Linked DNA regions of Oreochromis niloticus. The main gene of each other region encodes a partner of the protein of the gene in region 4 in a complex. Links are inferred from orthologs where the notes say so. Each region holds a gene or a part of one and is shown on either strand. Other genes may lie near its edges.

The links.
Region 1: drc8 (region 4) and drc1 share a complex: the UniProt entries of both Homo sapiens proteins name them as parts of the nexin-dynein regulatory complex. The link is inferred for Oreochromis niloticus from reciprocal best matches to the Homo sapiens genes DRC8 and DRC1.
Region 2: drc8 (region 4) and ccdc135 share a complex: the UniProt entries of both Homo sapiens proteins name them as parts of the nexin-dynein regulatory complex. The link is inferred for Oreochromis niloticus from reciprocal best matches to the Homo sapiens genes DRC8 and DRC7.
Region 3: drc8 (region 4) and drc12 share a complex: the UniProt entries of both Homo sapiens proteins name them as parts of the nexin-dynein regulatory complex. The link is inferred for Oreochromis niloticus from reciprocal best matches to the Homo sapiens genes DRC8 and DRC12.

The regions. Positions count from the first base shown.
Region 1 is NC_031980.2:12,171,754-12,178,684, forward strand, and holds the start of drc1 (dynein regulatory complex protein 1), read left to right. Parts: upstream 1-3,928; 5' UTR 3,929-4,082; coding exon 4,083-4,159; intron 4,160-4,603; coding exon 4,604-4,697; intron 4,698-5,473; exon of another isoform or gene 5,474-5,575; intron 5,576-6,819; coding exon 6,820-6,931. UniProt on the Homo sapiens protein: Component of the nexin-dynein regulatory complex (N-DRC) a key regulator of ciliary/flagellar motility which maintains the alignment and integrity of the distal axoneme and regulates microtubule sliding in motile axonemes.
Region 2 is NC_031984.2:2,435,224-2,442,750, reverse strand, and holds the start of ccdc135 (dynein regulatory complex subunit 7), read left to right. Parts: upstream 1-4,511; 5' UTR 4,512-4,609; intron 4,610-5,675; 5' UTR 5,676-5,699; coding exon 5,700-5,737; intron 5,738-6,289; coding exon 6,290-6,428; intron 6,429-6,543; coding exon 6,544-6,669; intron 6,670-7,357; coding exon 7,358-7,527. UniProt on the Homo sapiens protein: Component of the nexin-dynein regulatory complex (N-DRC) a key regulator of ciliary/flagellar motility which maintains the alignment and integrity of the distal axoneme and regulates microtubule sliding in motile axonemes.
Region 3 is NC_031979.2:20,322,964-20,329,891, forward strand, and holds the start of drc12 (dynein regulatory complex protein 12), read left to right. Parts: upstream 1-3,902; 5' UTR 3,903-3,987; coding exon 3,988-4,039; intron 4,040-4,112; coding exon 4,113-4,181; intron 4,182-4,640; coding exon 4,641-4,760; intron 4,761-4,986; coding exon 4,987-5,079; intron 5,080-5,171; coding exon 5,172-5,302; intron 5,303-6,928. UniProt on the Homo sapiens protein: Component of the nexin-dynein regulatory complex (N-DRC), a key regulator of ciliary/flagellar motility which maintains the alignment and integrity of the distal axoneme and regulates microtubule sliding in motile axonemes.
Region 4 is NC_031965.2:25,793,000-25,800,007, forward strand, and holds the start of drc8 (dynein regulatory complex protein 8), read left to right. Parts: upstream 1-3,985; 5' UTR 3,986-4,125; coding exon 4,126-4,150; intron 4,151-4,345; coding exon 4,346-4,436; intron 4,437-6,518; coding exon 6,519-6,591; intron 6,592-6,801; coding exon 6,802-6,878; intron 6,879-7,008. Other genes in the region: cgref1 (cell growth regulator with EF hand domain protein 1), read left to right, coding at 1,935-2,011, 2,162-2,250. UniProt on the Homo sapiens protein: Component of the nexin-dynein regulatory complex (N-DRC), a key regulator of ciliary/flagellar motility which maintains the alignment and integrity of the distal axoneme and regulates microtubule sliding in motile axonemes.

The DNA.
Region 1 (6,931 bases), on a different chromosome or scaffold from region 4:
TCACCTTGAGAGACAGAAGTGGTTTAGGTTAGCAGTCTGCTTTGGAGTCTTTATTGTTACTTTGTAAAAGATGAAGGGTTTTTTAAATTTTAGCTGCAAAAAGAACATTTTCATTTTGTGACGTGTGTGAGAATTTTATTTTATTTTTAAAAATTTTCTAAACTCATTTATATTAAACTGCAACAATGGAAGCAGCTCATTCACTCTCTTGTTGAGCTGACTGCAGAACAGAAAAAAAAAAAATCAATCCTGCAGTAATTATGGTCTAATGCCATGCAAAATTATTGTTCACCTAATCCACTCACAAAGGGCTTTGATTTTAAAAATGACTGTGAGAATAATTCTGTTGTAAACGTGATGGTTTATGAGGAGGAAATTAAAATGATTTTGTGAAATGACTCATATTCTGATCTTGACTGCTTGGTCCAGTTCTTTTCTGGATTAAAGTCCAAAAAATGAACCGAGGTAGGATGAAAAACATTAATGCCAGCGGTGACTTTTAGGTGTATTTACACAGAAATAAACAATTGTGCATTATAAGAAGTTATATCTTTTTATGGTTTATCTTTTTTTAATTAACTTTTATTTATGTATTTTTCCAACGGTCCTAAATGTAAAGAGTCATTAGCGTTGTTCAAGGAATATCTAATTAGCCTGTAATCACTGTTATTTCAGAGTAAAAGCATAGAGGTTTGATCTTATAGCTGTGTAATGGAAACCATGAATTTTTATTCTGAAATAGAGTTTGAATTTTTAAATAACTGTAACATTTTATAAATTTTGCTAATATCAGCATGTTCACAATAATCTGACACCATAGAGTGACTGACTTTTTTTTAATGGACTCTCATTATTACTGTATTTCTTTATCTTGCGTTCTCAGCTTGAATCGACAAGTGTTGATGCGTAAAAATTATGACATAAAGCTAAAAACAAAAACAAAATTAGCTAAAGAGCAAGATAGTAAGTAGCATTTATTACACAAACTATAATACAATAAACATGTAGCATGTTAAAAGAAATTGCATTTGTTTACCTGCTGCAGCCCCTTTGCCTCTCTGCATGCCTGCTTTTGTGTTTGCTCTCCCGTCTTTTAATGTTCAAAGGCTGAAATTGTGCAGTTAAAGAAGTAGAAACAAAAGATTTGTTGGGGGAAATTACTGGGCACTTGTTTGCAGTGCATGCTGCACACATGGCAAAAACATACTTCCTTTTGCACAAGTTACCTTGAGACAAGGCCAGTACATTTCATGTTTGAACAGTAAGGGGGATGCTCTTCATGTTGTTTGTGAATCTGGCCTTCTGTTTTCATTTATTAAATCTCATTTTTGTCCAATTTTTTTTTGACTAGTTTGCTGTTCTTTGACAAGGTCATGGCCTTTTTGGAGCTAAGCATTGTTGTATTTCTTAAAAAATGTTTTTTTTTTACTGTATTCTACAATCATCCTCCCCTCTTTTGTATTCTGTCCCATGCTGCAAAACAGTGAATGTCTCCATCGTTATGGCAATATTAAGACACTCTTAGTTAGGACTTAAAATGTTATGCAACCCCCACCACACCAACACTCTAAGCTGTCAGTTAGTTAACTGGCTGAAGGTCAAGCTTAGATTATGCCCCTGGGTAATGAATATGACGCTTTGTTGAACAAGAAGTAAACATATGCCCCTGGGGGTAGGAATTAACGGGCACACACACCCTCACACACACTCTTTTACCAAGCATATGTAGAGTGAATGGGGCTTATTATACACCTGCAAGTGGGGTCAAAGTCTGTCAATCCCTAGCTTATGGTATTATGATAGATTTTAGAATCACTCTCTAATGGCAGTCATTCAGTTTGTAATCTCAGCAGCTTGATGCAAAAGCACTCAACGTTCCAGCTAAGGGTCTGTTGAAAATAAGGCCTTCTCCTCCTCATTCATTCCTCACTTCCCTCTTTCCCAAAGGTCTTATGACAAGTCAGCTGTTAGTGACATCACAGATGCAGGATCATATGTCAGAAACCTTTGCTGCCTGACTTACATCCCTTGCAACCATGGCCACTTGAAGCCAAAAGAGCGGCGAGGGGCCCCGGGGGGTGGAGGCAGGGGCACTCTTCAGAGCAAGAACATCTGACCCGTGCGTGAGTTTGTTTGTGTGGGCAACCAGACTGTGCGCATCTTGCCATCAGCTTGAGAAGACATCTATCGTGTGCATGTGTGTGTGCATGTGTGTGTGAATTAGAAGTCCAGGTTCTGTGTATGTGAGTATCTGGGTTATGCTGATCAGGGGGCATGACAATTAGTGAGGCATGGCTCTTGTGAAAAAATATTCAGAAATACTTGTTTGTGAAACTTCAAGTCAAGTTTTGAACACAAGGTAGTAGCTCCACCTAAAGTCAGCTGTGCAAATTACACTAAAGTTTATTATGTGAAAATATTATTTAAATTCTTTTTTTTTTTTTTTTTTTTTTAGAAAAGAAATTAATCCTAAAAAACATTTAAGACACCACTTAATACACACACAAAAACCTCGTTAGGTCTCATGTTGATTAAAAATTTCACTTTTACAATTGTCTGCTTGTTGTGTCTCTAGCACTGTTCTGCTGAGCATGTGCCACAACTGCATAAAAATAATAGTTTTTGACTGCCTGTAACGCGTCACTGGGGAAAATAATCTTATGTCGTAATCTGTTTTATGAACCTACAATGAAACTTGGAAGATTATGATGTCACATTTCTTAGAAATGGCCCTGTTAGGGAGAGATCATTGCCACTATCTGCACACTGTCCTACAGTATGGAAGTTGTTCTCACCCCCAAAATGATCTGGACCAAGTGTGTCTAACATCAGGCCAATCAAAGACTCCAATCTGGCCCACTGGAAAATGTGAAAAATGTTGCAGATTGTGAAGTTCTTACTATAAGTTTAAATTTTGTTTTTACAGCTTTTCCTACTAATAAAGACTTCCCCTGTGGTCTTTCATACTACACCATAATAAATAAGTAATAGATAAATATTTAAATGACAGAAATGTTCCTGCTTTTTCCCTATCTGGTGTAGAATCTCTCTTTTTTATAGAGGAAAAAAGGCATTTTCTTTAAAAACAAAAAGTTAGTTCTGTTATTTCAGGACAGTCTGGTCAATGAGCTGTCTAAACTTTTCCTGTTTTTAAGTATATCTGTTTATTACATTTTAAGCCCCAAATCATGCTGACAGATTTCCTCCATTTCTTCATCACATAGAAAAAGGGAAATGTACTGTATTGAAGTTCTTTTTTTCTTAATTGAAGATATTTGAGGGATTTAATGTTTAGTTAAACTTCTTTACACTGACAGAAAGGGGAGTTTCGCTTGAGGTCAAAGTGAGCTGTTAAATGAGTTCCTGATCTAGAGCGGTTGAAACCCGATGATGCCGCTAGATGGCAGCACCGAGCCATGTAAAATTTAACAGCATCATAAAAGCTACTCCCCCGGTAGAGTCGCATTTTAAAAGCCCTAAACACAAGGAAAGGGAGTAAGAGAGCTTAATAAATAGAAGCAATCTCTAAACATGAACAGTCATTAGTAGCAGATAGAAGCACAGAATGAAAACAACAACAAAGCCGGCAGACTGTGCTTTATTAATAAATGAAGGGATTATATTAGAGACACTTGAAACTGTTAACGTCATCATTAGTCTTTCAATGATAAAGGAAGAAATATTCTGATAGGAAATATAAGTGCAATAAGTTGTGAAGAGAAAATGAAACAAGTTGTCACAGGCCTCTGCACAAACTAAGTGCAACCAATGATTCAGTAGCTTGTAGAACAACCCTCAGCAATGACACTTAAAAAGACACTGAAATAACGACTGCCACTGTTTTATGTTTGAGGAAAACACGAGCACGTTTCCTCTAAAAAACAAACAAACAAAAAAAAGGACTTCGAATTAACGAGGGAACCTGAAAGCAGCTCCGTCGCCAAAGCAACGCTTACCAAACAGACTCTACAGGGCTGCTGCGGACGATTTTAACCGTGCAACGTTTAATTACTTTCAGTATTTTTTACAACATCGTCCAACAATTAATTACTTTTCAGTATTTTTTGCAACATCGTCCAACAATGGAAGAAGCTGACAAAGTGCATGAAGAGGCGCCCGAACCTCCTGTGTTGTCCGACAATCAAGAGGATAAGAAGGGGTAACCTGCAGCTTACTGTGGCTAAACACTGCGATAGACTGGACAACGACAACTACCCTGATAGAGGCGTTGCATGTTGTGTGTGTGTGTTTTAAATCTGACCGTTTAATAAATACGATGAACTCAGGAAAATTAGGTCGAGATAATGGCCTCTGTCACTTTGCAGTTTGGCCCATTTTTGTTGATACCTTGCTCATTTGAGTTGAACGCTGCTCATGTAAAAAAGAAAAGTGGAACAATGAATGTTTTAACAGCTGTAAAAGCCTCACAGTTATATTTTATTACATCAGTTGAACACAGATATATAAAAAATAACCTCTGATAATCAAAAGACCACAGTTACATGTCGTAAATCTTTTCTTAGTGTCCCAGGTGATTAAGTAAAACGTTGTCCAGTTGACCTGATATCACTCTACAGATGGTAACTATATTGTATGTTTATAGGGCCTCCAGTTTTAAGGGAAAGGAAGACCCCACTGAGGAGGGGAATGAGGAGTTGAAGACCAAAATGCAAGAAGAAAAGAAGGACGTTAATAAGGTTGATTTTTTCATGTTTCCCTATCACCTACCTCTGCAGGTTAATGAAATCATTGAAATGTATATGTTTATTGGCATTCAAGGGTGATTCAGAATGTCCATTTTTTTTGCATTTATTTTAAAATTGGTTTAGTTTATTTAACGCCGAGGAGTGGATATAAGATGAAACTATAAAAATGCCAGGAACAATATCAACAAGACACTCACTACTTTGGTAAACCCAATAATATTACAATCTACAAAAATATGTTTAAGAAAAAAGATTTGCATTGAAAATTATCAACTAGGTGACTTTCAACTAAATGTATGTTGAGGTATTTGTGCTAAAGTATGTATGTGCTGGTGATCAGTCATCCAGCTCATGGTAGAAGGCATCTGGACTTCTTTTGGGTTTGTGAAGAAATTTCAGATTTCACCTCTCATCCACGAGATCTCTTTAGTTCTAAAAACCTGATGGAGACTGACAGACAATTAAACCCTTTTCGTGTTGTCCCCCTGGAGTGTAATCACGTGAGTCCGTAAGAGTCACACGAACCTAGGTGTGAACATGGTGTGAATCCTGTCACATGATGTTCAGTTCAATTCAATTAAATTCAAGATGTGAATCTTTTGTAAGACATTAGCTCATCCTGCTTTAAGATATTATACTGTAGCCTTGAGAGACCTTCCCAGGCAATTTAACCTTCACTAACACCTCATCCTCTATAATGAGATCCATGCCTCGTTCACACCTTGGCTCGTGTGACTCTTAATGACTTGCATGATTGCAAGGTGGTTCGAGGACTCTCAGGACACCAACAGGAGGACAATGTCATTAGGGGTTAAATACCGGCGGCTTGACACCAGTTTTTAGAACTGAAGAGACTTCATGGCTGAGAGGTGAGAAGTTGTCACAAAACAAAAAAGTTGCCTTCATTTTAAGGCAGGGCAGCTTAGGGTAAATTTACATTTCACTCCAAATAAGCTTTGCAAGGCAAGAGTGCTAACAGGACTGGAAAGAGGGATCAAATTTCTCTCATATCAAGTTCTCTTCATTGGTTCCCAGAATTTAAGTAATTCTTTCTTTTCAGTTTTGAATAGCGATATCTTACCCATCATATCTTAAAGACCCTATAGTACCATAATATATAGGCTAACCTGTGGCTTCTAGAGCTTCTAAAACTAGAATCAGAGCCACAGCCTTCAACTATCAGGACACTGTACTGTGGATCTCGCTCACCGTTTGGATTAAGGACATAAACATCAGTTGATGAAACTAAACTACGAAGAGAGGTGATGATCAGTCAGCAGCGGAGAAAGATCTCTACAGATCATGACAGTGTTGATGGAAAAATATAGAGAAGGTCAGAAGGAGCTTCAGTGTGTCTTTGTGGATCTAAAGAAAGCATCTGATGGGGTGCCAAGAGGGGAACTGTGCCACTGCATGAGGAAGTCAGGAGTGGCAGAGAAGTATGTGAGGGAGGTGGAAGACATGTACAGCGAGACAGTGGTGAGGTGTGGAGTAGGAGTGACACGTGGGTTCAAAGTGGATCAGCTCTAAGCCCCATCTTATTAGCAGTGATGATGGACAGGTTGACTAATGAGGTTAGGCAGGAGCTTCTGTGAACCATGATGTTTGCAGACAATATTCTGATCTGTAGTGAGAGCAGAAGGTGAAAGAGAGGAGCGATGGAAGTATGCAGTGGAAAGAAGAGGAGTGAAGGTCAGTAGAAACAAGCCAGAATACAAGCGTCTGAATGAGAGGGACACAGGTGGAAAGGTGAACATGCAAAGAGTAGAGATAGTGAAGGTATATGAGTTTAAATACCCGGGGTCATCCATCCAAAGGAACAGACATTATATCAGAGGGTTAGGTCATGATTTTGTGTTTTTGACTCTTATTTTGCATTGTGATTGCTATGTTGGAGTGAAATAATTAAATCCATTAAAGCGACTGGCCAAAGCAGAGGCAGCATTGTAATATCCACTAAAACAGATCTTTATAACTGAAACTGAAAACAAAACTGAAGTTATTGCAAAAGATGAAGTCCAATCAGTAAATGGACACTACCACAATCAGATGTAGCTTTCATAAATTCTTATGAGATGTATTTATTTTAATTTGTCCCACTTTCACTGCCCAGAGGATAATGAGCCTGCAGAAACGTCTGACCACATTAGTGACCAACATTCAAACTGCAGCCGACGCCAAAGAGATGGAGCGAAGGTCAGGGATGGAGGACAACTGCAGAATTA
Region 2 (7,527 bases), on a different chromosome or scaffold from region 4:
TGATAAATGGTTGGTCCAGAGTCTCTATATTATTGCATAGTGCCTGTTCTACATCTAGCCAGGGCTATAAGGCGCACTTACAATCCTTTAATTTTCTCAAAAATCGACAGTGCCCCTTATGTATGAATTCTGGTTGTGCTTACTGACCTCAAACTGATTTTATGCGGCACACGGCGCTCAAAAGTCTGTCAAAAAATGTTTTAGTATGACTTTGCTAAGCTATGAAGCCGCACTGCTTAAAAGATTGCTGAAGCATTACGGCTACTGAAGTCAGGAGCCTTGTGGAGTAATCAGGGTCCTAAACTCCATCCTCTTCAGGTCCCAAAGTCAAACGAACACTGCGGCATCACTGAGAGTTAAAAACTGTCTTAATTCTTTCATCTTTAATAAAATGATCAGCGTTGCTGCTTTACCAGGTGTAACAATAAAGTTTAACATCCAGGCATCCATGAAAACAGAATTTATTAAATTTAATGGAGTTAGAAGTTAGCAGGAAGTTAGCTCGCTAGCTTCCAACTAAACATGATATAGCATGTTCTGACTGAGAGATTTCTGAAAAAACGCTCTTTAGTTCTGTCCACCAGTTCATAGGTCTTGGAGGTGGATATGTGAAGACTTACCAAAGTGACAGAAATGTAACATTCCAGCCTCCCCTTCAGTTTGCATATTGGGCGACTTAGATGATGTCACTAAAGAGTCCACATTCCTCTCACCACCCTATGCATTGCCAAGAAGACTGTCCACAAGAACTGGAAAAATAAAAATAATCCTAATTCTAACCAATACAGAGACAGTCTGATAGATCATATTAGTGTTGGTACAGCCTGTGCCACCACATTAGACCAATCTTTCTGGCCTGCTTTGATTGGCTCTATCAACTAGTGGGGCTGGGGGCTCCTGGTTTTGTCCCACCTATATATCATTGTAGGTGATGGAGTACGGACGGGGTACTCACTTGGGGTGTTTGGGGGTTCCCTGAGGGTTGGGTTTCTTGTCCGCTCGACCCAGGGGCTGTGGTCATGACCTGGATGGGGCTCTGGTGACTGTGAGCGGCAAGGCTGGGGGGCTCTGTGCCTGTGGACATAGATTAGCGACCTAGTAGCCATGCTGGTCCTGGGTTGGTCTAGGGTGGGCTTGGGGACTTGGGTTCTGGGGGTGTTCCACCTCTGGGTTTGAGTCCTGGTTGGTGTGTTGCTGAGGTTGTGGATGGGTGCATACACAGGGGCCCCGCCCTGGTGCTGGGGGCCTCTGGTGCATCGGTGAAACTGGGGGCCTCTTTAGCTGGCAGGAGGTTTTTAACATCCTTTGCAGGCGGTCTCTGCTCCTGAGGATTCCGCTCTGCAGGTATGTTAATCCCCCCCCCCCAATCTTTTCCTCCCCACCTCCATCCCAACTCCTCCCGCTTCATCACACCACCACACATACAGGACCCCTCCTGGCCACCTGTGCCTCAATTTTATTCCACAACTTAGACACTCACATTACTTACACTCTCATGACACATACATATAAGACCTTGGGAGTGGGCACACTGTCCAGAAGACAGTCTGTTTATACACTCTCACATCTGGTGCCAGTCCCCACCTCTCAATTTTAAATACATGTAGACATTGAGGGTTCTCGGGAGGGGCTTTGCTGACACCAGCTGTTGTCTGGCAGAAGGTAGTTGGCGCCAAGCCCCTCCCATGTTTTAACTACACTTTAGAATAGCACGCATCAAAACCACATATGAGCAGGCAGAGTGAGGTATGAAGTCTTCTCATATGCTGTACGTCGTCTGGGCCAGTGGGCTGGGAGGAGCTGGCCGTCTGTTTGGGGTCTGGGCTGGGGGGCTTCCCTGCTGCTGCAGGACCAGGGGCAGTCTGCTTGTCTCCACCGCAGAGTAAAGGGAACCATCTTCTGGGTCTGGGGCCGATTAGCAGTCTGGCGGTGATGGTGCCTGGACCTGGGGATACAGAGTATGTATGGGGGAGTGTGAGTGCGTGTACTGCGTTCAGTTCTGTGTGTCTCCATGTTGGGCGAATGTGTGAGTATTTGTAAATGTGTGCATGAGGGTGGGAATGCATGTTTGTGTGTGCTCCTGTTTGTCTATGTGTCTGTGTCAGGTCGGGTCTTAGACTCCACCTCTCTCAGAACATCTCAGGCCCACCCAGGTGTGGGGGCCTCTCTCCCTGGACCGCACTCCCTGCCAGTGGCTGGTGCCTTCACCCAACGGTGCATTTTTGGTTCTCAGTGTCCGGTACTGTGTCTCGGATGTGTACTGACTCACTGTTTGGTGGGCCTGGCCCCCTGGCTCTGTCAGACCCTTTCCGGGGTTTGGAGGGTGCTAAGGTCTCTGGGCCCAGGGCTCGGTCTGCGTAGCTCTGCCTAGCTAGCTGCAGGTGGGGCCTGCGGTCTTGTTGCTGCAGCCCCCTGTGGCTGCTGGGTGACTCCGGTCCGGGGCTCTCCTCAGCTTTTTTTTCAGGCAGGTGGCGTGATTGCCTTTCTGGTGGTCCTCCTTGGCCTCTCATGGTCTGGGGGGCCTCTGGATGTCTGGGGCCCTGATCTCCTTTATGGCTGCTTCATGTCCTGGGGGGTAGGGCTATGGCTCTCCACCACACACACTATTAGACAATTACACGGACAAACCTTATGAATACATAAGTGCGCTCACACACACACACTCACAGACTCTACTGCTGCTCCCCCTATGTTCCATGTTCATTATTAGTCCTGTATGCTACATCCTCTTCTAATCTTCTGTTCACTTTGACAATGCCTCGAGTAAATAACAATTAATCGTTATCTGCAAAGAATTTTATAGTCCTCTTCTTTTCTCCAGTTTCTTTCATGGCATGGCCATTACCCAATTTTAACATCCAATCACCTATTGTGCTGTGAAATCACCTGATGCGAGCCATATCTTGTTGTTCTCTTGCCCCTCACCTTATCTCTGTAGACAAAGTTACTTTATCACAGTAGTCACATTTATTCAACATAATTAACTTCAGTTTGCATAATTTCAACATTTCTTGTCATCTCAATTAGAAACACATTGTTTTTGTCACAAACTGGAAAGGTGAGTGAAGTTTGGACCCAAGGGCAGACTTAATTGCACAAACTATTTACAAGATTTATTTACAGGAGTAATCAACTTAAACAAGAGCACGTATATTAACAGAAACTATGAACAGGTGTCGTGGGAAACCAGGGGATGGAGAAAGGTTCTGGCACTCATAACACAAGGAGAGCATGGGCAGGAACTTCTGCAACAGAGGAGAGAAGTATCACTGGACTGGGAAACGAGTGAGCGGGTTGAACTCAGTAGTACTTGTGGAGGGTATGTGCTTACTTGTAGATGCAGGCCGGCTGGCATAGGAGGGGTAGCTGTGAGAGTGTCCAGGGGATGGCGGAGTATGCAGGTGAGATGGATCCAAGTTCCAAGGGGTCTAGAGGAAAGATATATCCACAATTGAGATGACGGGCAGGAGGGCAGGCCGAGGAGCAGGTGAGTGTGAAATCGTTTGTCTGCAGGTAGACTGGAGAACTGGGTGGAAGTGGGACCAGCGGTGCTGATAAGCACGACAGAAGATGGATCTGTAGAGAACTGGAGACGGAAAACACATTAATCCAAAAACAGCATGAATCACGAACACAAGGATGTCTGAGTTACCACCAATGGTAGCAGGACGAACTGGTGGAGAGTGGCAGGCAGCGGTGGTTTAAAAACCCTCCAGATGATGGTCCAGAAATTAGGAGAAGGTGATGTGCTGACAAAACGCCACCTCAGGGGACGAGCAACTGGAACTGGTCTCACACCCAATCAGACACTCCCACGGCACAGTTTCCCTTGATCATTCCATATACTTTTCATTTCTGATTACTTTCTCTAAGAATTTGCTTTTTCTTGTGTCTCTTTTTAACTCAGTATGTGAACTTTAGTATTTATCGATCACAGTTCAAAAGTTAGTTACTCAAAAATGACTTATTCTGTTTTTTTCAGCACAATAAGATCAAAAACTTTTCTGTTTCTCTGTCTTTTTGTCTGCTCCACATTCCTCACTCACAGGCACTTTGTAAGTTTTGATTAGATTTCAGATTTGATGATAAATTCAATTACAGCAGGAACATCTAACATCCAAAGCACATAGATTAAACTCTGTCACTCTCTGCTACATTACACCCACCAAAGCTGGGTTTTAGGCCTTTTCCTTCACCTCTGGTTGGAGCTGAGCCGAGGGATCTCAGTCTCGTTGACACTTTCAAAAAGTATGCAGGTTCAAAGGGCAATAGCTTCACTCTCCAGGCCTAGTACACCATCTATGGGCACACATGTTCATCTTCATAGTGTACTTTTATATAATTAAAGGGAGGATTCTGGAGGGGTATTTTCATGCGATACCTTGACTGGTCTGCCTCACTTCAGATCAAATTGGGCCAGGAAACAGAATAAATTTGGCATCCCTGTTTCAAAGCGCGTCTGAAGTGTGTTCTGTATGAATCCTATTAACTCCGAGGGTAAGTGAATGCAGCATACCTTCACGTCGTGACGTGTTGCTGTTACCATGGACATGAGGCAACGACAACGCTTACGAATGTGAAGCAGCTAAAAACAGTTAACGGAGCCCGGGTGAGTAAAAGTTTAACCAGTTTTCAAAGAGTTTGTTTAAGTGTCGCTCGCTTTAGTTTGATAGCACGTTAAAAAGCACGTTTTAAACGAGGTTAGTTACAGGTCTGTATGTGGGACAGCAGACGTGGTTACTACAGGGAACAAAAACTGAACTGAAATAGAAGTAGATGTGAAATTTAAAGAAATGAATAAAAAAAACTTAAAGTAAACTCATAAAATACTGAAAGTACTAAAACTGATATAAACTAAACTCTAAACGACATTTTAAAAAGAGAAAAAATGGAATACATGCATAACGGTTTGTGAGGAAGAGGACTCCCTTACTATGATTATTTATATTATCTGTATAGCATTGTGAGCACACCTTTCACTTTATTAAAAGCACCTTATCAAGCACTTTATTTAGCATCGCACTTTAAGCATGGATTTGCACAGTAAAACATTTGCACACAAGAAGTTTAATTATATTTATTGGGAATTTTAAAATCAGCTGGCAGCCTCGTTTCAGGTCCTACACAGGTCCTCAATCACCAAAGTGGATGGTTGCAGGAACCAACAGGTCCGTCGGGTTCTTGTCTCCCCAGAAACACTTCCCTTGTGCTTTTGGAAATCAGTTTTTTCCTATTTCTGTTGTGTTTTCGTTTTGTGTTTCGTTTTGTGTGCTTTTGCAGCGTTTTTCTTATTGCTGGTGTTTTCTTAAGTTGCAGTCTGTTTGGCCTCTCAGGGCCACCGTAGTATTGTATTCAAAGTTTTCTTACATTTTGAATGGTAGATGAGGTGTTATCCAGCTCAATACACACTACTTATTTCTAGAGCAGAAATCTGAGATTTAAAAGTTGTGTTTAAGTTTGTTGACAGTGTCAGATAGTCAGATGTTTTTACTGAAGAATTTTCAGCCTCATTTTTTTGAACCAATAAGAAAATACTGACAACAAGATCTAATTTGATTGTATTATTTTATTTAGTAAAATTGTCTACATGTGTGTGCTTTTCTGATGTTTTTCCGTGTGTGTGTTTATGTGTAAACTTCAGGCGCACATAAACACAATTAACCTTAATCCAGTAGGATCGCCAGAGGAGCACAGCACTGATGGAGATGGAGGACGTTTCTGCTTCTGAGAAGCTTCTGTAAGTTTTTTTACACTCATAGACAAACTACATACACACAGGGATGAAGAAAATACACGAAAAGAAAAAAGTTCGTTGTTACCAACTCTACAAAACGCCTTTAAAAGACATTAAAGACAGACAAGACTGTCACAGAGGTTCTGCAGGAGGTTTCTTCCTGTTAAAAGGGAGTTTTTCCTTCCCACTGTCACCAAAGCATTTGCTCACAGAGAGTCATGTGATTGTTGGGTTTTCTCTGTTTCTCTTGATTATCCCTTTAAAACCTGTAACATGAAATAATTGACAGAAAAATCAATCTTATTTAAAATGGAGGCTTTATTTTTGTTTGAAAAAGTAATTAAATTTTAATTTCCATGTATGATTTTTCATTTGCATTTTATTTTCTACATCTGTCCTTGTTTTAAAAATTGCTTTAAAATCTATTCTACAATTTATTTAGATTTTTCTGAGGGAAAAAGTCCCACTGATGATGTAGAAGCTCAAAAAGCATTGTAGGGTAAAGCTGGTGGCTTTGAGGTCATCTTCACGTCTTCACCTGTTCTCCTTCTTCAGCCCCGAGTCCTACAGGAGCAACTCTCCAGAAGAGATTCGACTGTTAGCCATCGCAGAAAACTTCCAGCGTCAGTACTCGCACTTGTGTCCTGACCGCAAACCGCTGCTGCTCTGTCCTGTAAACGAATGTGGAGTAAAGGTAGGTTTATCTCACTCAACCTTTTTCTCTCTGAAGAACAGATCCCATTGGACCTTCACATCTGCAAACACCCTAAATACTTTCTGCATCGCCGTCTGTCTCTTCTCATATTCAGAAGTTTGTGTCGACGTCTCTTCGTCCAACGTCGACCATCCACTGTGAACTGTTCGAGTGGCAGGGCTGTGCCTCTTTTGTGGCCGACTTCCTGTCGTTGGTCCCTCTGGATCCGCCCGTGGAGCTGGTCAGAAAGGAAACAGCAGACAAATGTTTATTTGAGTCTTAGGAGCAAACAAAGTATTTTTTGTAATCAGTGGTTGAGAGTTAAAGCATATGTTAGAGAGAACTTCTTTTATTCTGCTGTTTCTGTTTTGTGAAACCATAATTTTCATAATTCAGATAATTATTGCATATAATGTAATTCTAATATAAGAAATGCTCGTGTTTAGCTGCACATTAACTGCGTGTCATCCTGTCGTGTCTGTATGCAGTATTTTCAAACCTCACATGACCAACAACTGTATATATTATTCTATTCTATTTTATTCTATTGTATATAGTATTTTATTTTATTTTATTTTATTGTATTTTATTGCATTCCAGTGTTTTCTAATTTCTGCTACATAACTTTGCACTTTTGCTGTAACAAAACAAATTTCCCACCTGTGGGACTAATAAAGGCCATCTTATCTTATCTTATCTTATCTTAACTGATGATGTCACACTCAGAGATGATGTGAAAATGTGTTTCTGAGAAGCTGATATATATATATACAGTCATTGTCCCGAACATGTTTCAGCTTTTCAAGATGGTGGATGAGAAAAGAAACAAGACTGCAGCACATAATCACATTCACATCAATAAATACACACATGCGTGCACCTTCTCTCGGTGTGTCTGATTGTGGCGGTGTGCGTCTCTCCCGTTGCAGCCAAAGGTCCTTTCCTCTCCCAACGCGGTGCTGCAGAGTCAGAAAGCCACGTGTTTTGAGTATGCCACTCTGCTGTGCAGCCTGCTGCTCGGCGAAGACTACGACGCCTACTGCGTCAGCGGCTACGCCGTCAAAGAGATGTGTCTGCTCAATCAGAGCCTGCAGGAGTG
Region 3 (6,928 bases), on a different chromosome or scaffold from region 4:
TATACATGCACAACAAATAAAAACACCGTGATGATTTCACTGATAAAAATGATTTAATCTACCAAGCTGAGGCATGACTAGAGGAGAACTTAAAAAAGAGCCAGTAATACCAACAATGTGTCCCAATTCCATTAACCTTCTCCAGGCCTCCAAGCGCTTAGTGCTAACACTTGTACCCAACCCTCAGTGAAACAGAATTCATGCATGCGCTGGTACAAGGTCACAACTGCTGAATGCTCTATGTCAGCATCTGTTAAAGTTTCTGACTTAAAGTAAAACGCTGAACCGCTCCGAGCTAAATTACATGCCACTGATCTTTCTCTCTCTCTCTCAGGTGATTCTACACCTGGCATGATTATGTAGATTTTTCCACATCAACTTCAAGGTATTTTACAGGTCGAAGACAAGTTGGAGCTGGTTGAATTTTGGGGGATTTTCGCTGCAAACAGCCATTTTAAGTGCTTTCTTGCACATGTTGTCTTTAGTACAGCCAAGTGAGACAACCTCCCTCAAAGCTAGTAATAAGTAAGTAATAAGTATTGCCCAGCATAATGTGGTATTATGATCAGTGTCTATACTCTAAATAGAACCATGTTGTAGGCCAAGCAGCGATTATCGTCTTGCTACACTTGTTTAGTCATAAAAAGGCATAAAAAGAATGAAGGAGACAAACGAGCCGACTCTGTAAATGTTAAGTACCTTTCAACTATACACCTCCACACTGGCACACGGCGAACAATGTCTTGTTCGGATAAAACTGATTTTTTTTTAAAAAAATGACTGTCTTTGATTATGATGTGAAATTCAGGGTCTGATATCGGCTAAATCTTAAAATCTTACTAAAGGCATTCCCGTAGATAATACTTCTGATTTTACTTAAGTATTAGTTTACCTAATTAGCCAAAAGGATGTGGTGGTGCAACAACGGAGACAGAAACAGGATCTGATGTTAAACTTGTTTTAAAATAAACCTTTAATATTGACCGGGGCAGTCTATGGTGTCATCTCTTTACATCCCTAGCCGAGCCGGGCGGTAACACACTTTAGCTAAATTAAGAATACTGACGTTATGCATTGACAGTATAAATGCATGCCCCAACTGTAAAACCACTGCCTGATTAACAACTTGCCTATAAATAAATGATAATTATTTTTCCTTCTCCTCCAGAAAAAAAACAAAAAAAAACTCCATATCTTCATTATAAAAAAATAAAGTGATTTGAGCTCTTCATCCCGCTATCACTGAGCATTCAGTCAGCACAAAATTGATGTGACAACAGATAAACATCAGCCACTGTAACAGATATAGATCTTGATGAACAGGTACAGCAAGTAACAGGGAAATCAGCCTCTTGGTTTTGATCAAAATTTAACTTAGTTCTATGTGGGAGGTGTTTTCAAGGAGAAACTGCATTATAATTCTGCAGGTATGGTCAGTGGTATCTGTTGGTTTGTGGGTTCACTTTAGATAACGCTAAAAATATTTCTGCTGCTATTTTACGCAGTCCCGTGGAGTAAAATCACTTTTGGCACCTGTGGTATAGCTTTTGTTTGTTTGTTTGTTTTTTTGTTAAGGTAAGATATTACTTTATCTGGCTGTTTTTCTTCCAGTCAATGAGTTTCTATAAAGCCATATTAACATGGCAAAATAATCCCTTCTGTAAACTGCAAGAGCCAAACTGATAGGTGGCAGGTAGTTTAATGTGTGGCAGATCAGATCAGCAGCCTCTCCTTTCTTGTTTGGTCTGCATGAGACAAGCTTTCTACAGGAGCGTTGAACATTCACAGAAAACAAGGTGATAATAAAGATCAACGTTTCAGTGCCACTTGTGTTCTTGTCTGTGCTATTTGAGGCCCGACTAAGCAAAATACACTTAAATGTGTTAGCAGTTTTGCAAAGGCATCATAGTTTATAACTAAGCCGTCGCGTTGGAAGTTGAGAAACAAAAAAGCCGTGTGTGAATCTCACAGGAAACTGGGGGTCAAACTGTTGCAGGCTTTTTTTCCGAGAAGTAAAGCTGTGAGATGACTCTCCCCTGTTAAAGAGCATAGCTGGACACGTAAAATGCGTACTTTTCTTCTTCTCTAAACAATTTCTTACAATTTCCAAGGGTTGAGAGACAGCTGACTATAGATTTTCATAAACGAGCTACAGGAGACACTGTTGCAGTGCTGTGAGACCTTGTATTTTCAATTTCCTGCCACAAAGTCGTTAGATTCAGCCCTTATGTGGCATATTTAAAGAATACTAACTTCCTTGTTAGAGCTAAAGATTGTGATATACCTTAAAATATTTAGCCGTGGTCAAACAATGTAACGCTATGCACCGCGGTTTCACAACTAAAGGGTAGTTACCCGAAAGTGTTAACAACCCTGCCAAGTAATAAACTAAGCCTTTGTATGCCAGTTAATATTAAACTGCTACGAAAGTGGCGTGCCGCATGACGAACAAAACAAGAGTTCAGGTTAGCTATGAGCTAAAGTTAGCTAACCATGTCCTGTACCAGCCTGTTAGCTAACTTAGCAACAACAGACCTTCAGCAGGCGAAGATTAGCTAGCTTATCGCAAGTTAGCTACGGTTAGCTAGCAGTCGCCCTAGGCATCCGACGCGTAAGCAAACGTTAAGGGCTTAACGTTGACAAACCTTGTCCATTAGTTTCCAGCATTTCTCCACCGTCTTTTTGTCCACGGCCCCGGGCTGGTGATGGGAGTGAAGGTGGTGATGGTGTGGCTGGAAGGCATCCTTCATCATTCCGATGATCCCCCCGCCTTTCTTCAGGTTCCCAGCCATGTTCGGGCTCGGCCAGAGCGGCAGACAGGCGAGGTGAGGCAGGGCAGGGGTCAGGGGGACCGAACCGCCGCCTGGAGTTGGTTGGACCGGGCGATGGTGATCCCGTACCCCCTGTGAGGACAGCGCCCGAGCGGCGAATCCGAGCCAGGGTCCGACGGGGGTAAAATGAGGGAGGAAGAGATGACTATTGGATAAAGGCTCCCATCAGTAAACATAACATGATTATTTGGTAGATAAATGTCCAGACTGTGGATAAAACAAGCCCAACGGTCACTCACACCCTGCACAAGTTCCCCTCTGTGCTGCAGCTAGCAGGCTGCGTTGCTCAGCGTCTCCCTCTCTCTCTGCAGGGACCCACGCAGGCTAATTAACGGAGCACCAGACCTGGCTCCCCTCGCCCTCAGCTGGAGGACAATGGCAACCGTTTCTTCGCTGGACTCGTGCGTGTCCTCGCCTCTGTCCAAGCCGCGATGTCGTTCCTCTCTTTTGTCAGCAGCAGCTCTTTTCGGTTGTGCCGTGTCTTCAGGGGAAGTTCAGAGGCTCTGTGACACTGTCAGCACTCCTTTGCGGGCTGCGAGGCTGACGACACAAAGCGCTCACCGACGACCGAGGAGAGGAAGTTGAACTTAAAGCTGCGAAAGCCTCACGGTCATAGACGGGAACTAGGGTGAATAAATAATTATGGGATTTAAACATTGCCCAGCATTTTCTGTTTCCCCCCCGTGACGTGTATGTGCGGCCCTTTCCTTTCCTGTACGTCCCCTTCCGTTAACCCCCAACCCCTCCTTTCTCTCCCAGCTGCCCAAACCCTAAACTCTCCGCCTTCTTTTTAAAGCGCGTTCTCGATATACATGACCGAAACCGAGCACGCGCGTCTGCCTGTACAGCATTCATAAAATCTCCGAGAGATGCTGCTGAGTGCATCTCTGAGTTCTCCCAGCTCGGGCCTCGGTCACCCCTAGCAACAAAAGACGCTTTCACATATACTGAAGGCAGCTGGCGCTGTGCGCGTTCCCCAGTCATGTGTGTGACTGGCCGTTGTAAAAGTCACTCAACTATCAATTAAACCGGGCACTTTGTTTTATGGCTGCTCACTCAGCAACCAGTGCACAGCAACAGAGTCTCACCACCATACAGTAAGCGTAGGCCCTCTGTGTGTCGGTGGGTTGAACAGGCAGCCTTGCAGCAAGCAAGTATGGCTCCGAAGAAGAAGACAAAAAAGGCCGCAGAGAAAAATCCAGAAAAATGTAATCGAGATTCTTTTTTTCTTTTGTGACTGCAGATCTTTTATTTCATACACATATTTCTGTGTTGTTACAGGTCAAAATGACGTGGAAGAAAAGCGTAGGCACAGTATTCTGGATATAGCCATTCTGCAGGATCACATAGGTGAGCCTGCAGGTTTTATTCTTTTATAAATAATAAAAACAGACAGTATGATTTTTACATAAAGGGTCAAACTGAATATGACTCCACTCCTTGTCATGTCTGTTCCCTTTTAAATCCCTGATGTCCCATGTTATTGGGTTGTATATAGATTTTAAGTGAGTTATTAAGAGATCAGTCTTTTACCGCATAAAAAGATAGAAAATAGTGGAAAAAAACATATGTATATTGTGCTATTTGAACATTTTTTAAAAGCAATACAAGTGGAAATGAAAGCCCACATGTTAAAACTTGACTGCATATTTGGGCATGTTTACTAGATAATTTAGTTTGCATTAATACAAGTTTTGATAAGAGAGCCATTTCCATTTTTGCTTATGAAAACAACCAAACAAAAAACAAACAAAGCTCCCTCTGGTTTGTGCGTTCAATGCCTGCATGTGTTTGTGTGACTTCCTGCAGCCTTACAGTGTGAGGCTCTGAGAAGGGTCCAATCGGAGAGAGCTGATCTGAGGAGACGCGCGAGAGACATGGAACAGAAGCTGCAGCACGAGAGACAAGACCACAGGGACATCTACTGGGGTGGGTACAGACGGGGCACGAATCCAAAATTAGTCTGTCTTTTAATAACCTGAGCAAAGTGCGGATCCCTTTGGGAGTGAGGACAAGGGGCGTGTTTGCCGAGGTTAGGCTAATTTTTGAGGAACAAAAAATCTAATTAGCCGGGCGCTTAAGCTGATTGCTGTATTAGCTTTTCAAAGTGAATCAGCAGTGAACTCTGAAATAGCTGACGCAAATGTCATTCTAGACCTCAGTCGCCAGTACAAAACCATGCAGACCAAACTGACCAATAAGGTGAAGAAACTGGAACAGGAAGTCAGCCAGCTGAAGGAAGACCTTGGTATGGTCTATCTATATTTAAAGTATAATCAAACAAATGAAGCCATATAAGAATTTACTAAAAGGGTGTCTCGCCTCTCTGTATTTGTATAGCCCTATCCCAGGAGGAACTGACTAAAGAGAAAAGTGAGCGTAAGCAAGTGGAGCAGGAGAAGGATGCCATCATAGCAGACCTTCGACAAAAGCTGGACAACATAGAGTCAGACTATGAGAAGATCCTTCATGTGAGTTTCAACACAAGCCAGTTCAACCACACAGTGTGGCAACAATACGCATTTGAAAACCTACATGTATACAAAAACCTATTTGAGGTAACCTTTTGCACAATGTGGGGCAGCTTTGTCTTGTATGGTGCAGTTAGACCAACCCTCAGAGAACTTGATCTCAGTTAGTTCCGCCAAAGTCATGGGAAGGTACTAGCACTTCTACTTGTTGGTCAGGCCTGCAGATTATGTGTGACTCTTGAAAGAGCGGTGTGATGACACCAATTTCTTGAAAGTCAAGCTCCTGAATGTATGATTGCTTTGAGCAGATAATTCAGTCTAAAACGACAAACTAAGAAAACGCTAATAGAGCTGTCATGGATGTTTTATATGAATTCAGTGACTTCAAAATGATTCTTATGACATTATGATGACACTGATGAAAACTGTTGCAGTTTATGTCTAATAATGTTAGGTCAGAAATGTTAAAAAACTAGATGGAGTGTACAGTATACATGTGGTTTAATCTTCCCCCCATAAAATGACATTTGCAGACTTCCTGTGTATCCTTAACGACAAGTTTTGACACCTTAGTACATATCAATAAAGATGTCCTTTCATGACCATTAGAGTAGTTTTGGGGTTTTTCCAAGGGTAGCTGTACAGGCAGAGAATGCCCTCACTAACTTCTGATGCAGAGTGAGTATTTTTTGTCAATAAGCAGGCCTGAAATATGGTGCTTAGATCAGAAAAGTTAGTACTCCATTACAAACTTTGCAGCTTTGCGGAACGATCAGTGCACACAACACCAGAAATTATGCAATCAACACGACCCAGAAACTGCTGAAAAAAGAAGCCATAAATAGAGCTGTAGAAAAATATTCACCCTCTTCCTGATTTCTTATTTTTTGCATATTTGTGACACTTACATGTTTTAGAAAATCAGATTTTAATATTAGAGAAAAATAACCCGAGTATATACAAAATGCTGTTTTCAAATGATGCTTTTATTTATTAGAGTAAAAAAAAAATCAAACCTACTTGGCTCTGTGTTAAAAAAAGAAATTGCCTCCTGAAGCTAATAACGGGTCAGGCCACCTTTGGCAGCAAAAACTGCAATTGAGCGTTTGGAATAACTGGCAAACTGGAGGGATTTTGAGACACTCTTCTTTGCAGAATTGTTTTAATTCATCTATATTGGAGGGTTTATAAGTATGAGTGGTCTGTTTAAGGTTGTGCCAAAGCATCTCTGTTGGATTTAAGTCCAGATCTTGAGTAGGCCAATCCAAAAGCTTTATTTTGTTTTGTTTTTTAAAGTTATGATCCCGTTTGTGTACTTGTTGGTGTGTTTACGTATCATTGTCCTGAGGTGTTTAAGATTCAGGGCGTGAACTAATGGCTGGACATTCCCCTTCAGGATTTTCTGGTAGAGAGCAGAATTCATCGTTCCATCAACTACAGCAAGTCGTTCAGGTCCTGAAGCAGCAAAGCTGCTCCAAACCACGACACCACACAACCACGTTTGATTGTTGATATGTTCTTTTTATGAAATGCTGTGTTAGTTTTATGTCAGATGTAATAGGTAACCTCCAAAAAGTTAAGCTTTTGTCTCGTCAATCCACAGAAAATGTTAAAAAAGCCCTTGGG
Region 4 (7,008 bases):
ACTGCAAATATTATCTCAGCACACATAGCTGCTACTGTGCTGAAATAGTTTGAACTTGCCTGTAATAAACTGTTCAGAGAACAAAAGAAGAAATATCTAACCACACGACAGATGCAGTTTCTTTCCATTTGTTGGTAAGATTAAATAATGTGTACACGCTATCATACTTTCATCTTAAGGTTATTGCATGTAAGACCAGATAAATGTTAGCTGTATGGAATAGCAGTTGGAATTTACACCACCCTTAGTAAATAATACATGTTGGTTCAAAGCAGGCCTTTGTGCAGCCTGAATCAACATTTGTAAAAAGATTATTCAAGCATTTAGAGTGTCTCACTGTTGCAACATTGCTTCATTTATGGCATGTGATGGAGTGCATGAAGTTTAAGATGTTAAAACAAATGATGCCCTGAGAGCAGTCTCGGTTCTTACCACCAGATCTTGCCTTAATACCTTTTTAAGTCTCATGTAAAGCTCATGACTCATAGCTGATCCAAAATTCAGGCCAAAGGTGTTTCCTTTAGAGCACAACTGAGTTGCCTTCAACACAGCTGCTTCAATCAAAATCTGTCACAGATCATCATTGTTACCATCTACTTCATGTAAGATTATGAAAGGTAGAACCGCCTGCTACGACGTGTTATGTGTTAAGAATGTTAAGAAGTTTCTATTATTATATTAAGGGTGTGTAACCAGTTTAATACCTGTTCACTAGATGTCAAGAGTCTATTCACAAATATAGGAAATCATTTATAAGTACACATCTGCCATCTGCTTCACTTAAGATTACATATACAAGTACATAGCACATGTACCTAAAATATGAGTTTAAGGCATGTGCCAATGAACATTTCTCACTTCACAGCCTTGATTTAAAAAACAGTGCTATTGGACTTCTATGGACGAATTTGTCATATTATTTCCAGCAAGGTGAACATATTTATATTTATATCTATCTATATATATCTATATATCTATATCTATATGTATGTATATATATACATATATGTGTGTGTGTGTGTGTGTGTGTGTGTGTGTGTGTGTGTGTGTGTGTGTGTGAATAATAACATTGCTGAGCAACACGGTGGCGCAGTGGCTAACATCTGTTGTTTCACAGCAAGAAAATCATATGTTTGGCCCCAAATTCCTTCCACAGTCCAGCAACATGAATTTGAGGTTAATTAGTTTATTGTTATTGATTGAAAAAAAATCACATTGCAGAATTTTTCATCAGTCATTAACAATAAAAAAGAACAGGAGCTGAATTGGAGTTAAATAAAAGTGCGCACAGTGATGTCAGGAAACTCATTGTTTAATTTCCTTAAAAATTATATTCAGTCAGCTCACTTTCACTTCTTGTTTTTCCGCTCCCCACCTTTTAATGACTTTACACTCTGTCAGTGAGTCCTGTAACTGTGCAAGTTTATGGTTATCTGTCTGTTTGTATCCAGGGTGTACCCTGTATCTCGCCCTGTGTCAGCTGCGATCAGCTGCGATCAGCTGCCATCTAAAGCGGTTAATAAAATTGGTTATTTTTATTGCTACATTCTAGATTTTTTAATGAATGAAGAGGTATTGATTTCTCTTCTAACCTCTTCTCACAACATGAGACACAAGTTATTTTGTACATCACTGAACATGATTGAAGGGGATCTTTAACTTCTTTTAAACATGTTATAAATGATTTAAAGAGCTGAAACAGGCTCTGTGAGCAGAAGTCTGTGTGCATCTGAACTGAAATAGTGAAGTCCAAGTTTTTGGAGACGGGAGCGTGGGGTTTAGGAGCTTGAAGAGTCTGGCACAGGGTGCTTGAGTGTTATACCCTCTACCAGATGGCACAAGGGTGGAAAGAGTCTGTAGCACATGGCAGTTGCACTACCAATCTGCTTTCTAACATTTTTTCTAAACTGTGCTTTTTGTTGTGTGTACCACAGTTTGAGACAGAGTTACATTCAATCAAGCCTGAAGAATGGAGGTCAAGGAGGACCAGAAATCACCACCTGGGAACAAGGTAAACAATGCCTCTTACCAGTAGATATTACACTGATGGGTTCTGACTGGGATCACCATTGCCAAATAATGTAGACTTTATTAGTCAGAATCTAATAAAGTCTTTTTTATTTGATTGTATAATTGTGAATTGTGCTGTGCTATGTTCCAGAGGTATTCTTCCTGTTTGGCCTTTATGATTATGATCGCAGTGGGTTCTTAGATGGCTTGGAGATGATGAAGCTCCTCTCAGATTTTTAACTCCCATCATATACCTGGAGCAGAGGCCAGTGAGCAGGTTAGCAGGAGCGACTGTATGTGTGTGTATTTGAACTGACAAGGTGTTGGCCTTTTTCCTTCACTCTGTGATATTTGTGTATGTTTGCATGTTGCTTTCAGGTGGTTTCTATGGTAGATTTCTTACTACAGACTCAGGATCTAAACCAGGATGGTCTGCTGGCTCTATCTGAGCTGCTCTCCCCTTCACTCACTCACACACAGGTACTGCAAATGTATTGGAAGTACTGTTAATACTGTTCAAGCTTGATGTAGTTTTATTCACACCTTTATTATATTTGGCTGCAAAAACAACACCTCATCATAACTTTCTACCTTAAAGGACCCAAGCAACAACAATGCACCTCAGCAGGAGCAGGAAGCAGTAGTGGAGGAACAGCTATCAAACGCTATTGCTAACGTGGACAGCGTCGGTGCAGTGGAGCAGAGAGAGGAACAGATTCGTGAAGAGATTCAGCTTCAAGAGGATGTACAAGGAAAGGAAGTTGAACCCATAAGGCAAATGGATGAATATGAGAGACATCAAATCCCAGAAGTCACAATAGAAGATCTGGGGCAGGACCACAATATCCCTGTACATCAGGGCCAACCAGAGATATAAAACACACACACATAAACACACTAGAGAAAACACCACTCTGTCATCTAGGCCTCAGTCTCTTATGTACTGTATGGGATAGCTTCTTAATCAGCATCCCCAAAAATGGTCCTCTTCTGGATCTGAGTTCTGAGTTTCTGCTAATGCACAATTCACTGGACTGTTAAACATGTAGATGGGTGGTCAAAAGGTCTTTCTGGTCAAAATATTTCTGCCACTGTATTGGGATGCTCAATGATTCCCAGAGCTTTTAATGGGTTAAAGGCAGAATGTAATATTAGTTGCAACAATAAAACAGAAGCCATGATTAAAAGAGACCTTTTAATTTTTTTTTTTTAAGTTGGAAAATGTGTTATTACTTTAATTGAATTTATTTACCATTTATTTACCATTTTCTGCCATGATTATTTAATGTATTTGTTTGCTTTATACCACCAGTTTATGAGCTACTGCATCATTTGACTGGATGTTACTTGGATGTGTCCTCCTCCCCAAATGTCAGTAGACACTGTGGATTCATGTACATGTGGATGGTGGACTTTCTGCACTTTTAGCTGTTTTTTATAATGTTTCAGATTCACAGTTGGTTCAGCTGAAATGAAAATTCGCTCTCCTTAATATTATGTCAGCAAGTAAAATGAGTACATATTGAATTCACTAGACAAGGAGTATGAAAGAAAATAATCTTTATGGTGGCCCCATTGAAATAAAATGAAAAGTAATGTAAAATGCTATCATTATCTACATACTTGAAATGTTTTTAGTGTGAAAGAGTGTACTATTTGTTAATTTTTTAAATTTTTTTTGCTAATTTTTTAAACCATTTTATGCATTTATAAGGCGGAAGAAAATAAATAAGAAACAAGTATTTCTCTGCTCTCTTTGTTTGTTTTCAGTCTGTCTTGTGTTTAAATGTGATACTTATAGATTATTTCATAGAAAATTAACAAAATCCTTGGGAAAAAACCTTTATAGTATGAAAACACATTTTCGTGGCTTCATTATATCAGGAACTTCTGAGGGGTCACGTTGTTGGAAGGCTTTTTTTTTAATCGAATGACTTCTTCAGCAAGACGGTGAGCTTTAAATAAAAAATAAATTAATTAATAATGTGTTATTAGTAGCTCTATGTAATTCGACAATAAAGGTTTTCTGGCGATTAAAAGATGGCAAACGTCAGAGGCGTTTAATTGGTCTCCTACCATACTGTTGCTGGGCAACAGAAAAGCGACCGGACAAACATGGCGGAGAACAGCAAAAGTGCAGGTTGGTAATAGTTACTTTCATTTTCAGTTTGTCTACAAATTGAACATCTTGAGACCACAGTGAAAGTTTCAGTCTAAAACTCTGTGCCGACCCGTCATAGTGGCTGATCTTTGATGAAAGTATTGTCATTATTTCCTCCAGAACTAAGCCAGCTAAGCTAATGCTTCACTATGTGTTCTTTATTTTGTCTGTCAGAGGCCACCGTGCTTAATACCAAGATCCTCAAGAAGCTCAAAGGCGCTTTTCAAGCCTTTGACACCAAGTCTGATAACACAGTGGATATCAAGTGGGTAAAACAAGACAAGCCATTTACTTTTATTACCGGAAAGATACTTAATAGGTACTATGAAGCTGATTACTATGAAGATCCAAAGGACCTTAAACGTTTTAACAAGTACACAAGATGCAGTCTTGTGAGAAAATCTTGAGCCAGCCCTCATTTCTTTGCATTTTGTTACCAAGGAGCCAGATTTTATTGTAATTTTTAGCAATAGCTCTTTCATTTTTGTTCCAGTGTTGCACCTTTTTTTTTTTTGCGACCCCACTTAACACTTACCTGTGAATCACTTTAGCATAAACAAGACACCTACCTCTGGGGACCAGAACCAGTGTTGTGTCAACACCAAAGAACTCAGCAATCTCAAAACAATTCAGCAAAGAACCTGTTTTAACGGTTACTGGTCACCTTCTATTAGCAGACTGTTGCAAAAACACATAATTTTTTCCCCATTTCTTTAGTTGAATCAGCAAAAAATTCCAAAGATAATACATTTGAAAGGCATAAAATAGTATTTTTGCACCAACAAGGTGATTCCCAAAGATTAATGAAGGGAAACAGAAAGAAAAGGATGAGGTATGCCAAATTACACAAAAACTGTTTTCACATAACCTTGCCATGAAAATACAGGGATCTTAGTTTTATTTTGAAAACAGAAGTGCCATGGAGGTTTTTGATGTTTTTGCAAGGACTGGGCCAAATATCGGTGGCAATCATAAGCAAAGTACAGCTGCATTTCAGTCAGTGGTGTTGGTGAATTTATTCAAAATTCCTGAAATTATGAATAAAGAAAAGTACTGACAGATTTTGATTCACCGTGGAATACCATCTGATTGGTAAGAGCTCCCATTTTTCATCAACGAGTCTGACCCCAAACACAGCCGATGCAGTAACAGCATACCTGGATACAAAAACACAAAATGAAACACTGTCTGCCTGGAGAACTATTCCTGAAGACTACAAAATTACAAGAACACTGACTTTCAAGAGAGTTAGAATTACACAGTGTCTGTATTTCCACTTATGAATGTACATGTTTCAATAAATGGCTGTAAGAAATATTCTTAAAATCTCACCAGAGCTTTGTGCAACCTGAGGAACTCTAATCAGCCACACAGATGAAAACATCTGGCAAACAAATGTGCATGTCCTTTCCCTTCAGCGACAGTGCAGCATGTTTTCTAAGCCAAGTGTGTGCTTTCTATGTAAAATTAAACTAAATGGTAGAGTAGAATATTTTTTAATTAGCATTATTAGAGGTCACAGCAGCTTTAATTCCTAGATATTTTTTTTACTAACTTATGCAGATGCAGAAAGGTCGAAACACAGCTGTTTATTTAAATCTGCTCTCAGTAGGTTTCCTGTCTGTAAGTTTTTGAATTTCTCACTGGAGGTTTTAAATAGAGTGGAAACTGCACACAAAGTGTCCTCCCTGCTAAGGTAACCAGACTGTATATCTTTTATACAGTCTGACAAACTAAACATGGGCTTGGACAGTTTAGGACATTTTGCTAACCTAAAATTGTTGGTCTGTCCAGGGAAAAACTAATTATTTAGGTTAGAGATTTGGCATTTAGTTTGACAAAAACAAATATAAAGTATTTGCGTTTCTAACTTCATTTCTACATAAATAACATGAGCCTGAAAGTCAAGTGGCCCAATCTCTGAGAGCTGACTACTCCTGGCTTCAGCCACACTTCCTTTTCTTTGTTTTATTTCCATCACATTTGCTGAGATCTACATAACCTGTGAGTTTCCCTGTTAGATATAGCATAGGTGTCCATCCTGCAGTGTGGACTTCTGAATATTAGAGGCAATAAAAATGTGGGACTCAAGTCTCAAGACATACAAAATGCTGTGTAGTTCAGATTACGCAGCTGTTTCCACTGGTAAATAGTTTGGTTGAAGTGGGTTATTTGGACGCTGGCTGTGAGAAATAAAGTTTGTGGTTTGTCTCAAGGCTTTCCACTGGCTGAGTGGGCTTTAGTAGGACATTGCGGTGAGATGGTTCATAGCACACAGGAATTAGTGAAACTAACTGAAACTGTCCTTTTAAATACTTTTAATGCACTTCTTGTTGTTGTTCTCTAGGGAGATTGGCACCATCTTCTATTCACTGGGTTTCTTTCCCACTCAGGCAGACCTACAGAAGTTCACATCTGAGGTCAGTATAGCATCCTCCCGTAGTCTGGTTCTATTTTGGAAGATCAGTAATGGGATGTGCAAACAGGGTTCTGACATTGTGCATTTCAGTAATGTTACAGAATCTCCTGTGCCATTATGTGACTGTTATAAAATCCTGGGTAACATTAGAAGCATTATTTTTGTTAGAAAATTCAAAGCAACCCCCAACAGCCTGTTCCTGTGCAACCAGGTGGAAGATGAGCGCTCAGGATATATCCACTGGGACAGATTCCTCCCAGCCATGACTAAAGTGCTACTGGAGGACAAGTAAGACAGTTCAGTTATATCATTGTATAAAGAAATTTCTGATTTCTGTGGATGAGAAGAAGGCTGAGATGCAAATAGGAGTTTGTTAAACCAAATTATCTATTATACAATGTATTTTTCTCTTATACTG